Linked DNA regions of Nothobranchius furzeri. The protein of the gene in region 1 purifies or fractionates together with the protein of each later gene. This does not show direct contact. Links are inferred from orthologs where the notes say so. Each region holds a gene or a part of one and is shown on either strand. Other genes may lie near its edges.

The links. Proteins that work in one complex are often made in the same cells at the same time.
Region 2: the proteins of fxr1 (region 1) and tdrd3 purify together in Homo sapiens (affinity purification with mass spectrometry; 3 studies listed by BioGRID and IntAct, with this or other methods). This does not show direct contact. The link is inferred for Nothobranchius furzeri from reciprocal best matches to the Homo sapiens genes FXR1 and TDRD3.

The regions. Positions count from the first base shown.
Region 1 is NC_091748.1:72,996,481-73,004,561, forward strand, and holds the start of fxr1 (RNA-binding protein FXR1), read right to left. Parts: upstream 4,099-8,081; 5' UTR 4,073-4,098; coding exon 3,983-4,072; intron 1-3,982. UniProt on the Homo sapiens protein: mRNA-binding protein that acts as a regulator of mRNAs translation and/or stability, and which is required for various processes, such as neurogenesis, muscle development and spermatogenesis.
Region 2 is NC_091749.1:38,763,300-38,771,457, forward strand, and holds the start of tdrd3 (tudor domain-containing protein 3), read left to right. Parts: upstream 1-3,492; 5' UTR 3,493-3,630; coding exon 3,631-3,668; intron 3,669-5,030; coding exon 5,031-5,115; intron 5,116-7,534; coding exon 7,535-7,600; intron 7,601-8,015; coding exon 8,016-8,158. UniProt on the Homo sapiens protein: Scaffolding protein that specifically recognizes and binds dimethylarginine-containing proteins. Plays a role in the regulation of translation of target mRNAs by binding Arg/Gly-rich motifs (GAR) in dimethylarginine-containing proteins.

The DNA.
Region 1 (8,081 bases):
AGAATGCCGAGGGACAGTTTATAGAAGATGCCACGGCTATCCTGTTTGCAGCACGTGCAGAAAAAGTGTCTGTGAAAGGCAGCAACGCCTCAAATCTCATGACACATCTGCGTGACCATCACCCACAACTCTACAGTCAACGCAAGGCAAGCTAACGTTAGCGTTTTAGCTAAAATGCGTGATCCGAGGATTTGGGTTGAGGGAGAATGCAACGAGTCGCTATATAAAGCAGCCGCAGCGCCGCTACCTGCATATAAACCGTGTCGCAGACACCCCCATGTTGAAATGACGCTATGCATTACGGGGCTCCCAGGGGCAGATAAGAGTTGGTCTCTCTCTGAGAATAATTATGAATTTATGACATTTTCCCAAATCTGCAAAGCTCACTGGAAGAACACAAACTGAGGACAATATTTTCCTGATATATGGTTTATTACTCAAATAAGGGTAAAAAAGTATCTGATTAGAAAGCTACTTGAGTACTGAGTATCATCTGATCTAATATTTTTAAAATGATGACATCAATTAGACAAAAGATAAGAAGTTATGGGCAAATATTGGTATTTTAAAGACTAAAGGGAAAAAATGTAAACAAATAAACAACATAATTACAAAATAACACATTTTAGGCAAAATTTAGACACAAACTGAGGACAATATTTCCTGACATACAGGGTTTATTTAATTGTGTGAAAATGTAGCACGTTTAAAAAAAATACCGCGATACCCCCCGCACCGTGAGAACAAACATCCCAGCTCCAAGGCCGATCTTTATCCGCGTACGTCACACGTCACGTGATCAGGAAGCAGAAAATCCATGTGTGAGGAGATCGTTTTGGGCCGCTGCTGTAAAAAAGTGAGGCACGAACCGGAAAAGCTTCTGCCGATCACAATTCGACAACCGATTATGAAAGAACGGATAACGCTGGAAACACGCGGATTCTTCCTGATGTAAGAGGTGAGTCTCCTCTTTGTTTTGGTTGTTTTGGCGTCGACATCCGGAACTTTCCGGAACTGCACTACTCTGGGTGGCCGTATGTTGGAGTAGCTCTGTTGATTATATGCAAGTTTTGCCTTTTCTTGGACATTTTTTCTTCTAGTTTCTCAAGAAAAACTGTATTTTTGGACACTTTGCTTTTCTGTTTCTGGTGCTGTGAAGCTTGGGGGATTTTTACTGCTATTTTTTAGCTTTTTTCACTTTTTGAGCAGTTGTTATGATGCGTAACCATGGCAACAGTCTGGTTTACAATCGGTAGCAGCTGATTAACATTGGAAAGGCTGAAATAATACCTCAACTGAAGCCACAAATCCCAAATGAGCTAAAACGCAAGAAGTATGGGTGCAGAGCGGGAGCAAAACGGAGACAGAGAAAGAGGAAATTCAAACCATCTCTTCCATCAATCATAATGGGCAACATGAGATCACTGGCCAACAAGATGGAGGAACTCCAAGCCCTTTCAAGGACTCAGCCAGAGTTTCGACAGTTTCAGAACCGCTGGAGGAGATAATGCAAAGAAGGATTCTCCAGATAATCAAGAAGATTATGGACAACCCTGAGCATTCTCTTCACAAGACTGTCCGACAACGGAAGAGCGTCTTCAGTCAGAGGCTTCTTCAGTTTCGCTGCAACACTGACCGCTACTGGAGATCCTTCCTGCCAACAGCCATTGTAATATACAATAACTCTTTGATGACTTGATTATTATTATTATTCTGAGCTACTACAGCAATCAATTTCCCTCTGGGATTAATAAAGTATTTTTGAATTGAATTGAATCATCCTAGAGCACAACATTCTGCACTTGTCATTCTTTTAAATTTCTAGAGACCACTTTATCAATGTGTCATCATTACTGGTATTACAATTTCTTCACACTGTGTATTTATTTCAAGCTCAATAAATATATTTGAGAGTAAATGAAGAACGGTTCTAAATCAAGTGGGATTAAAGGGCAGACTGGTTCTTGTGCCAAGTTTAATAAACATTTTCTAATTTAAATTCATCTTCATTAGATTGAATTTCAAAATGAGCTTTTGTTTTGTATTTAAAGAGCAAGTCAACCCCTACCAGAGTCTAACTCCACTCCCGCTTCATGTTTGAAAAATGCAACACATGCTGTTGCCTGGCAGACCGAGAGGGCGGAGCCGCTAACAAATACACACACACTCAGGCTCACGACAGCATTGTGACATCATAATGTACCAGTTTACATCATAGCATACTTCTTAGCCAATAGCGGTGGCAGATTTAAATTAAAATACAGTGCAGAGTTTTTACCTGACAATGGCACAACACTGCCAGTTTGAGGCAGAATATTTAAATTTTAACTAAGATGCACTGAAGTGCCAAATTATTGATGACACGTGTCTGCAGCACGATTAGACACTCGTTTATTTAGTTTATCAGCAAAAAAAAGTTTATTTGGGGGTGACTTGCTCTTTAAAGAGCAAGTCACCCCCTACCAGAGTATTACTCCACTCCCACTTCATGTTTGAAAAATGCAGCAAATGCTCTTGCCAAGCAGACCGAGAGGGCGGAGCTGCTAACAAATACACACACACACACACAGGCTCAAAACGACATTAGGACATCATATCGTACCAGCTAACATTCTAGGGTACCTCTTAGCCAATAGCGATGGCAGATTTAAATTCAACTGCAGTGCAGTGTTAACCTGACAATGGCACAATGGACAGTTTTAGGCAGAACATTTACATTTTAACTAAAATGCACTAAAGTGCTAAACTATTGACTACACGTGTCCGCAGCACGATTAGACAAGCATTTATATAGTTTATCAGAAAAAAAAAAGTTCATTTAGGGGTGACTTGATCTTTACTGCATCTGAATGGCCCCTCAAGTAATCTATATAGTATCAAATCTATACCATGTGGAGCAGAACAGATGTGATTTGGGAGATTGTTTGCAGTAAATCATCAGATCACAACAATGCTGACTGGACTTTCATCTTAAATCAGCAGTCGTGGGGATGAAACCCAAGAATTCTGACATTTATATTCGAAAGTATATTTAATCTCTTTTGAGGAACAGCCTGCGGGTCTTTTATAAAAGTCATGTGACAATCTTGTCTGAAACTGTGTGGCAGGGACTTTACAGAGAAAAGAACGTCACACCTTCACGTAACTCACGAGTTTAAAAGATGCAGTGTAACTGGGAATGGCTGAGGTAAACATATGAGCAAAAAGGAACAGTGATCTCGGTATTATAATGAGCTGCATCACCGGGGGCATGGGGATGAAACGAAACCGAGAGAAGTGAAAGAGAAAATACAAAAGTATCACTTTAGGGCCGAGGTCTAGAAATAGCTTACAAGTGTACAATATCACCGAGGCTCTGCTGACATGCCAACTGCTCTGGACTGACAGGGAACAGCTGGCACACATAGCGAAGATGGCCTGAACATGATCAAGTATCAAATAATAGACGGTGACAGGAAGATATGGTAGTCTGTGAAGAGCGTTGCAGGCGTGGTGCTTTCTGAACGCCGTTAGTAAAAAATAAAAATAAATAAAAAATACCCTCCAAACCAATTATGTGTTGTTATTCTAAAACGAATAAAACGTCAACCCCGACAAGGAATACATGTTTAACGGATAGCTTTATTCAACTATTAGACGTCAACAGTTTGCGAGTTAGCTAACTTTTAGCTAATGACCGTTACAGTCACGGGAATGCAAAAAAACAGCTTTCACGTGTTTAATATCTGAGGTATAACGGAAAGGACAGTGATTCCTCTCATTTGTGTTGGGCAAAAGTCGATAAAACAAAACACTTGGCAAAAACAAGCGACCGACGTTAGCTTAGCCTGCTAATTTTGGCTAGCTGCACTTTAACAACAAACAGTTCGAGGACTCAAAGACACTCGGAACACGTAGTTACGGTCCTCGAAACTTCAGCTAACAGTCTGTATTGGGTAACGAAGTGCTACTTTTACAGCTGTGATGATATGCCGGTATTTACCTTATAATAAGCGCCGTTGGAGCCACGGACCTCCACCGCCAGTTCTTCCATATTGGACACGCAAAGGATGCCGGGACGACAGGTGTTCATTAGGGCTCCGATAGAGAGGCATGTTGTGGCGTTAGAAACTGTATTTTTGTGGTTTACATTTAAAATTATGATTGTTATTTAATGCTTTATGTTTGTGGGTTTCCTTTTAAGTTTCATATTTAATGCCCCACATCACTGGGGATATTTAACACGTTGTTTTATGAAGATGTTCAAAAGCATCATTCTGTAAAATGTAATGAGAATAATGTAAGAAGAGTCATTAAAATGAGAACATATTTCACATTTAATGATACACATGTCAGCTGAAATGCCACATTCAGACTAAGTTCACTACAAACAAACAACAGACGTGTGTCTGGCTTAAGATCACACATGGAATGAGTAGAAATCTTCATTGCTTCCAGGTATCACATCCAGAACATTCCGTTGAAAATATTCTCTCATAGAAGCTTAGACCTTCATGAAATAGTAACTCCAAAGTGAAGGCTTCTCTGGTCTGCTTGGTAACGAAATCATAACTAGGTTGTCATGAGTCGGGGTGAGTACTCGTCTCACACATTCCACCTTTGAGTTGTGTTTCAGGAGAGGGAGGCTTCCAGCTGCGCCAGGTTAGCAATCGGGGGGACCGGCTACTTAAGGAGTTGGAGAACACACCTCGACGCGGGATGATTACTACAGCTCGGTAGTTTCCAGCTTTCTAGTGTTGCAGTGATTTTGTGCCTCTTGTGTTTTTGGCTTATTGATCTATGTGGATTTTTTTGTGCTCACGCCTTCTTCAGGATTTTTGGAACATCTCTGGAGTAGAGACTTCTCAGGATTCAGTGACTCATCAGGATACTCACCTTTGCCACGTAACCCTTCAGGATGCAGCTCTCTGCTGTTCTCCATTCCTCCATCCAATCCGCTCACCTGCTCTCTCCACGCTCCCTCTCCTGGACCTCCTCACCCGGACACACCCCGACTCTGGACCTGCCCTTCCCAATACCTACACCTCCCAAATTCCCTATGCTGCGCTCCGTTTCCCGACCTCCACTGGAATTCCCAGTGCACCTTATGTTCTCGTTCTAAAATAAACATTCTTTTTTTTTTTCATTAAATCAGTGAGTTTATTGTGATTGCATGTCCTGGGTTAAACGCCTTCCCCAGACCATGTCAGAATCATCCCGCCAACCCGCTAACCCTGCAGACACAACTCTCACCGATCATCTCCATAGGGTGTCCCAACAGGAGCAGACGATGCCGCTGCAAATGAAGCAGCTTAACGCAGCCCAAAGTCGTTGCCAGCAGCTGGAGGCCCTGGTGCGGCAGATCCACAACCGAGTGTCTCAGCCGCAGACTCCTAGAACGGAACCTCAGGCGGCCGCTCCAGTTGCCTCCGGACCGGAAGTTCCAGTTCCCACAGAGATCACCCACTTCCATCCAGCCGCTTCTCCTCCATCCCAGACATTCGGCGGTGAGTTCAAGGACTGCCATAGCTTCCTCCTTCAGTGTCGTCTCGCATTTGAACGCTCACCAGGAGCTTTTTCCACAGACTCAATTAAAATGTCATATATTGTTGGACTACGTCATGGACGAGCCCTACGGTGGGCTGAAGCTAAGAGCCATTGTGCCACTTTTCTATTAGGACCTCATGATGAGTTTTTAACGGACTTCACACAGACTTTTGGACAGACCGAATTTGTTTTGGATATTAGGAAGCGACTCTGGACATTGTCACAGGGTCGACGATCAGTGGCGGACATGTCTGTGGAGTTCAGGACTTTGGCAGCAAGGACTTCATGGAACGAAGAAGCACTAATTGCTGCGTTCACAGAGGCTCTCAGTGATCGAGTCCAGGACCAGTTGGCGTTGTGCCAGGAACCTCAGTCTCTGGAGGGACTCATTCGCCTTGCCATCTCCATTGACAAACGTCACCAGGAGCTACAGCGCCCGGTCACCAGTGCTCGTCCAGCTCCCACTCCTGACCGTAACCAGGGGACTGGATATCGCTCCTCTTCTGAGACTACCACAACTGATGAACCCATGCAGATGGGTTGGACTCGTCTTTCCCCAGAAGAGCGGGAACATCGAATAAGGTCAGGTCTATGTTTGTATTGCGGGGGGCCCGGACACTTCGCCAGAGTCTGCCCAGCACTGGCAAAAGGCAGAGCCCACCAGTAAAACCGGGACTACTGGTGGGCAGAAACTCCAGCTCCCGTTGTTCTATCCAGTGTACTGTGTTTTTAATTCTGAACAGTTTCAGCTAGAGGCATTGGTGGACTCTGGTTGTGAGCAGTCTATGTTGGATCCTGGCTAGGTAGAGAGGTGGAATACCCCTACCACTCGTTTGTCGTCTCCTCTCCCTGTGTCATCACTGGATGACAGGGCTTTATCCACCATCACTCACCAGACCATTCCCCTACAGTTAAGAGTGTCAGGTAACCACACAGAACGTCTGGCATTTTTTGTATTTCCCTCTCCCCAGTCCCCGTTCGTCCTGGGCCACTCTTGGTTGAAACGCTACAACCCCCAGCTGAACTGGAAAACCAACCGGATAGAAGGATGGAGTCCAGAGTGTTCTCAAGTTTGCCTTCGCTCAGCCTCACCAACCTTCCACAGCCCCACAATCCCTTCTGCAGAAGAGATTGATCTCTCCAAAGTACCTCTGGTCTACCATGACCTCAGACAGGTATTCAACAAAGACCGTGCTTCTTCTCTTCCCCCACACAGACCTTTTGACTGCAGCATTGAGTTGCTGCCTGGAGCTCCACTTGCCTCCAGTTGCCTATATCACCTTTCCAAGCCTGAGAGGGAGAGTATGGAGAGTTACATCCAGGAGTCTCTGGCAGCCGGTCTTATCAGGCCCTCCACCTCACCTCTGGGAGCAGGGTTTTTCTTTGTTCCAAAAAAGGAGGGAATGCTCAGGCCTTACACAGACTACAGGGGGTTAAACAAAATAACTGTAAAAAACAAGTATCCTCTGCCTCTGTTAACTTCCACTTTTGAGCCCATTCAGGACGCCACTATTGTCAGCCACTTGGATCTCAGGAATGCCTTCCACTTAGTACGGATCCGTCAGGGAGATGAGTGGAAGACGGGGTTTAAAATTCCTTTAGGACATTTTGAGTATCTGGTAATGCCTTTTGGCCTGACTAATGCTCCTGCTGTGTTTCAGTCACTTGTGAACTCTGTCTTAGGAGATTATTTGAATAAGTATGTGACTGTCTATTTGGATGATATCTTAATTTTTTCAAGTACTCTAGAACAACATGTTCAGCATGTTCGGTCGGTGTTACAGCGCCTCCTGGAAAACTGGCTTTATGTGAAGGCTGACAAATGTATGTTTCATGTCACCACGGTTAAGTTTTTAGGATTTGTCATCGAGAGTGGGAGGCTGAAGGCAGACCCTGAGAAGGTCTAGGCAGTCACGGAATTGCCTACCCCATCCTCCCGTAAACAACTCCAGAGATTCCTGGGTTTCGCCGACTTCTACAGGAGATTCATCAGAAACTTCACTCAGACAGCCGCTCCTTTAACTAACCTCGCCTCCATTAACCAGCCTTTTGTTTGGTCCCCAGAAGCCCAAGCAGCTTTTCTGATGCTGAAAAGGAAGTTCACACATGCTCCGGTGCTCCACCGACCAGACCCCCAACTCCAGTTTACACTCGAGGTGGATGCCTCAGACACCGGACTTGGTGCAGTACTGTCTCAGGTATCTCCTTCTGACCATCGCCTTCCCCCTTTTGCCTTTTTTCTTGCCGTTTAACCCCAACAGAGAGCAGATACAACGTAGGCGACAGAGAGCTCTTGGCAGTGAAACTCGTCATCGAGGAATGGAGACACTGGCTTCAGGGGGCTGAGATCCCCTTCATCATCTGGACCGATCATAAAAATCTGGTCTACCTGAGAGAGGCAAAGAGACTCAACCCGCAACAATACAGGTGGTCCCTTTTTTTCTCTCACTTCAACCTTCAGATTTCATACCGCCCAGGCCCCAAGAACACCAAGCCAGATGCTCTCTCAAGACAACACGCACCTGACCAGGAGACAGAGCCCTCCACGATCCTAC
Region 2 (8,158 bases), on another chromosome or scaffold:
GAACCGTTCTAAGTGAGCAAATACTGCCATCATGTGGACCTTGGTAATACATCACCACCAGATTACAGGACTGGTATTTTTATTTGAGTTTTTGCCATTAGCATGGACAATACCTTCAAATTTTAACTGCTTCTGCTAGAATATATTCTCTTAAACAAAAATAATATTATTTAGATTTTCATATTTAACTAAAAGCTTTCTCAATGTCTCTAATTAAAACTGATCACGTCACAATTATATTATCCTTCATCCAAAAGCAGGATTTACTGGCTGTAAAAGCCACTGACACTAGTCAGTGACTCGATGCTATCTGCTGGGTTCCTTAAAAGACATTTAAACTAGTTGGCTTAATAAACTGAACTTTACTGGAATGTTTTACTTCATGCCATGACTGTTGCCGTGATTTTGCACTACATAAATAAATTGAATTGAAATACTTCTTTTAACTTTGCAACTTTTAAAAATACATTTATTGTCTCGCTTCCAATCAATCAATCAATCAATCAATCAATCAATCAATCAATCAATCAATCAATCAATCAATCAATCAATCAATCACTCAATCAATCAATCAATCAATCAATCAGTCAATCAATCAATCAATCTCACTTTCATGCCTGTTGCTGCTGGAAGTCCCACTGAATTAATTATAAGCACTATGACACAGTCATAAATATTAGAGGTTTGCTGGTGGGGCTGTGGAATTAATACCAGGACTATGAGTTCTAGTGAACATGTATTTAGGTGCACAACAATACAAATTAGAAAATAAAACACAGCAAAATCAATTACAGATCATCAATATAAACCTAGTTAACACAATAGGACATGGGGCAGCAGTAGCTCAACAAGTTGAACGGGTTGTTCAGTAATCGGAAGGTTGTCGGAAGATCTTTGTCTCCCCTCTCCCTGCCACACCTGGTGTGGAGTGCGGTGCCTTGGTCTGCCTGGGTCGTGGCTCCCGGGTCAGGGAGTTTAAGATTTTTGGCATCTGCCTGACCAATCCCGGTGGCTGCCTGGTGGGGTCTGGGTCCCTGGGCTCAGCTTCGGACGGAGAATTCTGCTGTTGTGTCCTTGGGCAAGACACCTAACCCACCTCGCCTGCTGGTGGTCTGAGGGACCAGTGGTGCCTGTGCTTGGCAGCCTCACCTCCATCAGTGAGCCCCAGGGCAGCTGTGGCTACATCGTAGCTCATCCCTGCCAGTGTGTGAATGGATGAATGATGCACTGTAGTGTAAAGCACTTTGGAGTCATCTGACTCTGAAAGGTACTAGACAAGTTTATGTCATTTCTCATTTATCATGATTATTGAACAAATATTTAGTCCAATTCCTTTCCTGTTATTATTCTGCAGCTGAAACTCCTCTGTGGAAATGCGACATGAAGTTTATGACACAAATAATAAACTTTCTGATGCTAAATGAAGGAGAAGAAAGGTTTGCTACTAATGATTCTCTTGTTTCTCTTGTTCTGCTTTAAATATCTCAACAATATTTGTGCAGCATGAAATTTTAATTAGGGCCCCTGATTTAAGCACAAAATGTTTATTTTTAAACAAATATTCTAGTTGGTGATCACTAATATTATAAATAGTTATGCATCCTATGGACTTCTCATTTAGTGCTGTGCTTCTTTTATTTGTAGCTACAGTATTTTAATATGCCAAGCTGTTTGGCAACAGTAATTGTCTATGACAGGTGCCATGTTAAACTGTACTGTGGATATGTCTACATTCTGGCATGGAGATCATTTTGGATTTCAGTATAAGTGGATCTGAGTAAAACGACTGTGGATTCTTTGCAACACTGGACAGACTGATGAGAAAAGCTGGTTTGGTGGTGGACACGGAGAGGAGAGAAGCATGAAGAAACTGGTGGCTGTAATGGGCCGCACCCAGCATCTTCTGCTCAACACTATCATCAGGCAGACAAAAATGGTCAGTAACTGCCTCCTGCAGCAACATCCAACAGAATGACTCAGACCTCATCTGTTCCACTGTCTGTTAGGCTGTTGAGCTCCTCTCAGTTGAAAGAGAAAAGACACAAATGAAATGTCAATCAAATCACATCTCTAAGTGCAACAATTAACTTTGACACAGACTCTGTTTGATGTGCGTTTTAATTTATTTTTAATAAAGATTGTCAGTGTCTTCCTTCAGTCACCACTTTTACATTACAGTTTTTCTCCACTGGTTTGGCTCATTTCTTGAAACAGAAATTACATTCTCAAAATAACATGGACAAACCTCCAAACCTTTTGGCAAATGTTCACAACAGAATGGCATTTTGGGGACACTGACTATTCAGATTAGAAAGAAATGTAGTTTTGACACACGAGTGAGCTGTTTTAGGGGAGATATGAGCTTTTGCAGGTAAACCACGCTGTTATGATCAACTATCCATGTTTATTTTGACAAAAGCACCAAGAAGGATGAGAATGTCCGATTTGTGTCGAGAAATGAGCCAAAGCTATTGAGAGGGATCTTTGCCATTTTGGAGACACTGTTTAACCCTCCCACTGTCCTAATGGGTGTGACCCCGCGAGGAAAGTTAACCATTGGGCAGGGTTGATGGTTTATCCCTTGGGTCCATGTGGCAGGGGTGAGGAGTGAGCACCACCTCACCCCTGCCACATGGACCTCAAGGGATAAACCATCAATCCTGCTCTATGGTCAACTTTCCTCGCAGGGTCACCCATAAATACAGTGGGAGGGTTAAATGAGAAAGGGGTTTAGATTGAAGCCTGAGTGAACAGTTTTGAAAGAGATATGAGCTTTTGCAGGTGTTGTGCTAAACTGTAAGAGTGTTTTGCCAAATGATTTTAGAGGTTTGAGAATGAAATTTTTGTTTCAAGAAATGAGCCAAACCAATGGAGAAAACTGCAATATGCAGCCTATTTCAACTGCTTATAAAAATAAACTTCAGTCAAGCAATAATTATAAATACATTTCCCTTAAGTTACTATAGTCATTACTATTACTGCAAAGCCTCTTTCAGGGCTGCATACTTTTGCAATATATATATATATATTAGAGAAAGTCCAGTTGCCCTATCGATCGATCGATCGATCGATAGATAGATAGATAGATAGATAGATAGATAGATAGATAGATAGATAGATAGATGATAGATAGATAGATAGATAGATAGATAGATAGATAGATAGATAGATAGATAGATAGATAGATAGATAGATAGATAGATAGATGATAGATAGATAGATACATTATGTAGGATTTTAATCTTTTTAATTGAGTTCATATGTCATTTCATATGGATGCTGTACCAACGCGTCAGGATGGAAATAAAAAATATTTGTCAATTGTTACTTTTAAAATAATTGTCTTTATGGATGTGTTTGTATTTTTGTTGATTATAAAGCACTTTTAACCATTAGAATTACAGTAAAATCGATTGTGTGGAAATTAAATGTATTTTGACCTTCTCGGCACGCCGTACTCGTACAATGCGTCTCAGTTGGTGACGTAATTACGGTTGGGTCATTCAGAGTTCCCATTAACGAGCTTTGTTTGCAGGATAATATGCATTGTAGCATCAGATAATCGTTCTTGAGGTGGTCCCCTTATAAACCGACGATTGTGTTTATTCACACATCTTCGACTGGACGAAAATGACCGATCTAGCAGAGTCCCTGATCAAAGAGGGCTGGTAGGTAGCATGGTAGCTCAATGGTGCTGCTAGCCGTCTGAGCTGTCAGTTAACTGTTGAATAAAATAATTAGTCGTCACGTTGCCCTTTTTAATACTTGAGAATAAACAGCAACACTCGGAACTGCTCGACTTGTAGCAACATAGTTGGAAAGCTACACGACTACCAGAAACCACACGTCTGCTAGCTGGTTTAACTTAGCAGACGTAGCATTTGAAAGCAGACAGACGTTACTTCGTGCGTCAGACAAGAATCCGTAATAGCGTGCAGGTTCGGTCACTGATACCCGATGGCACTTGTTCAAAACCTGAACAAACAGCTCGTTTTCCAAGTGCTTTTGAAACGACGACTAACAGTGCTGCTGACTTTAATTTCTGGTTATTCTTTTAGAAATTTCAACAATCCAACGAGGCAATTACAGTTTTATTAAATTGATATGTTGTGGTTGGTCAAAATGTATTTATTTCCCTCAGAAATGCATTCATTTAGCATGAATATATCAGTTTCATGTTGTAGTGAAATTCTGCGGGAGTACATCTGAGAGACAAATGTGTTTTGAACCATTTCAGACGCAGGTGCATATTTAACACCTTTTACAACAAACAACACTAATAAAATTCCCAGTTGCAGAAATGTTTGGCTTCGCTTAATTTCACAGTCGGTGTTACTTTTGTAATGTTGCTGATAATAATAATAATAATAATAATGCAAAATGTAATCAATATTAGACTACAAAAAGTTCTAACTCCAAAATATTGATCAGATTGAACCAGAGTGTTTGTTTACATTATGTTCTCTGCAGTGTGCTTTTGTTTATGTTGTTTTACCTGAGCGTTTTGTGCAGGACTTTTAATTGTATTGACTATTTTTTTATTTGAGTTTTAACGTAATTAAAGTGATACATTAAATGTATGCACTAGAGAAAAAAATCTGTTTATGCTTTAGTGGATCTATGAAACTTGTAGACTTTGCCCTCTTTAGTTATTTTGTGAAACGTTATAAAGTTCTTAAGTCTTTTAATTTAGCAAAATAAAGCTGCATTTAGTGTTGTAACCATGTAAAATTAAATTGTAAGACTTTTCTAAATAAGAGGATGCTGCACAACTGAACTCTACGCAAAGTTGACTTTCTCTTACTTTTCAAGTCTGATTGCCTAATTAGTGCATCATATCAAACACTCTTTTTTTGCTCGTATCAGTAAATTTAGGAGGAAAGTCAATAATTTACAATAACAGCTGGAGATTTAACCCCCACTGGGTTTCAGAATATTTTAAACAATGTCTTCTGCATGAAAGACTTGCTCTCCTGCTGGCTCACCTTACTCAGCATTATTTCCTCTTCTCCTTGTGTCATATCTCACAGGTACCTCAGTGATGACGGCATAGCAGAACTGAAGGGATCGGCTGAGAAAATAACACACACTGACATCATTCGTATTGCACTCAATGTAAGTTGTATTCTCTTAGTGTTTTTGTGGTGTGACAGTAGTCTGGGTAGGAAAATGGATGTGAAAAGCATTTTAAAGGTTAATGGAAAAGGTCACATTTTTTTGCATCAGTTATCCAAGAGTCAGCATGTTTGCTGTCATCTTTTGCTTAGCATGAATTTATAAGTCATTTTTTGAAAAACTGCCTTGATTCTATCATCTTCAGTTGCTTCAGGTGCATTTCTCCATCATTCATTCATTCTTTGGTCTGTTTGTCTGATGCCTTCCTGACACAATATCTGGAATGAAAATGAAACTTTTAAAGTTGTGGAACACTGATAAACCCTCTCTACTAGGGATGAGCGGATAAAGCATTTTTGACGAATACGAGCATGAAGTGACTAAAACTCATAAATATCTGTAATCGTGCTGAAGGAAAATCCTCATTGGGTATCTGACTGCCTTCACGCTCTGTGATTGGCCAGTCACATAGAGCGCTCGCCCCTCCCTACACACAAAACTCTGCAGTCGGGAGCTCAGTCCGCGTCCGGCTTATCCACGCACACACACAGACAGTAACAGATCTCTCTGTGCTTGCTTCACTGTTGCTCACATTTCTTCAGTACTCCCTAGGTTTTCCTCAGCTCGCTTTTTTCAGTTTAATATTTAAAGTTACTTTTTTTTGTAACTTACATGGTGCATTTGACAAGACAGAGCTGAAAAACAGCTCGTGCTGCGTCGGTCACTGCCTCCGCTCTGCTCGGGGCTTTTTTGTTTTATTTTTCTCTCTCTCTCTCTCTCTCTCTCTCTCTCTCTCTCTCTCTCTCTCTCTCTCTCTCTCTCTCTCTCTCTCTCTCTCTCTCTCTCTCTCTCAATTAATGCTCATAAATAATGTTCTGATTTTATTGAAAAACTTGTTCTGTAATAGTTTCTTTACTATTGTGATCAAAAATATGTAATCTCAATTCTGAGGCTGCTCTGTAAATAGTGTTTATATAAACAATACACATAGCAACTTCTGATCAGTCCATATCAGTTTCAGACTTAAAATAATGTATTGATGTAAACCACACCTACTCCCGGTTAAACTGCACACACTTCCAGGTTAGGCCACGCCCACTCCAAATACAGATAATTTAGATGATTGAACAGATACAGATACAGATAGTGGTGTACTTGCTCATCCCTACTCTTTACTTGTTATTTCTGATTATAAGCAGTCCCTGTTGAGGTGTTCATGCAGGCTGAACATGTATATAGTCTCCTACACCTGTCTCCTGCATTATCTTCTGGTAGAAATTAGATGGTGAAACTCTAGGATTTGAAAATCCTAACAGGTCTATATCACACTGTCACTTAACATTCATGGACTCACCCATGTTGACTTGTGATGGGGGAGACTGTTGTTGGTGTTAGCATCCAGCAGAGAACATCTCGGCTAGTAGAAGCTAACCACATTAGTAAATCCACCACACAGTAGAACTCCTTCAGGCTTGAGTTATTTGTGGAGATCAAACATCAACGTTGCAGAGCAAGCAGAGTTGGTGGTAGAGTTGCATTGTTGTTAGCCAGTCAGAAGTGACATATCCAAATATCAGGAAGCAAGACTCCAAATCCTGCCTTGTTAAGCTCTCCTCTGACGTGGCATTCTGCTCGTTCCCAAAACAGGCGCATCTGTGCTTTTCTTCCCCTGAGTACGACTTGCAAGGCATTCATTCCTACTAGAGACCACTGTAAATGTATTGATTAAAGTGTCCCACACTTTTAAGGATAAAATTATTCAACCATCACAATTGTTAAATTACAGCTGTGTGTTCTCGAAACAGCAGCTGCATAAATACATAAAAGGACACTATCATTGTTCATAGGATCTCAAGTTTTTTAAATACTTCACAAAAGGAAAATTACAAAGGCGGCTTATCTGACCCACAGTATCAGATGAGTACAGAACACAGGAGCTGCATTCACAGCAGAAGCCTTGACCTTTTCAGGTTGGCCTGGAGCACTGCCAAAAGATCTGAGACGGCACTTGGACACATCACAGTGCACCTGATTCATTCGGCATGTTTTAACTTCAGGGCAGAGCTTAGAGGGCCATAAAATGGGGGTTGGTTTTACCGGAATATGCAATTAAAGAGTTTTAAGTAATTATTTAAATGTGAAAACAAACCAAATTCCTGACATCTTTCTATTATTAATTGTTGATAAATTGTACCTAGAAGGAGCCTTCTTTTTATTGTAACCAATGTCAGAACATGCCTCAGTATGATGCACAGGTCTGTAACTAAATCTGTTAAATCATTGTCATTAGATGCTCACCAAAAAGGGCCGTGTTAATTATTAAACTTTCAGTGCTTCATAATCAGCCTTTTTCCTGCTTTACTCTTACTATGACTTGTGTAATAACTGTTTTTGTTACGATGATGTGTGTTTCTTGCAGAATGATCTTAGGCCTATTGGGAGAAAATTTCTACCTTCTGATATCAACAGTGGAAGAACTGAGAAAGTAAGTGGAACAGAAATTCACAGGTTTCCTGCTAAGTGGTGAAGCACTACTGCCCTTGTTTTATGTCAGAAAGTGTTTGGAAAATGCTTGTAAATGAGTAGCTGCGGTGCAGTTCTCAGGGAAGCCACTAGATGGCGGAGACACACCAACAATATTGTGTTTAAGTTTTTTTTTTTTTTTTTGTGAAACTTAGAAAATGTTTTAGTTTTTAAAACATTGAATATTGACCCTTCTCCTTAAAAGGCTCTTAAATAAAAATAAAGCAATGTAAATTCAAATGGAAGAATGAACAAACCAGTTCTATTATAAGCTGAAAATAAAAGTCTCAAAGCCATTTAATTTCCATATCTGTTATTATCTTCAGTGCTTTGCAGCAGATTTGCCTCTCAGACCAATTTTCTTTGTTCTCTTCCAGTTGGAGGGTCCATGCGTCCTCCAGGTGCAGAAGGTGAGAAACATCTCTGCTCCTAAAGACCACGAGGAGTCCCAGGGTGCACCGCGAATGCTGCGCCTACAGATGACAGATGGGCACACCACCTGTGTTGGATTAGAGTATAA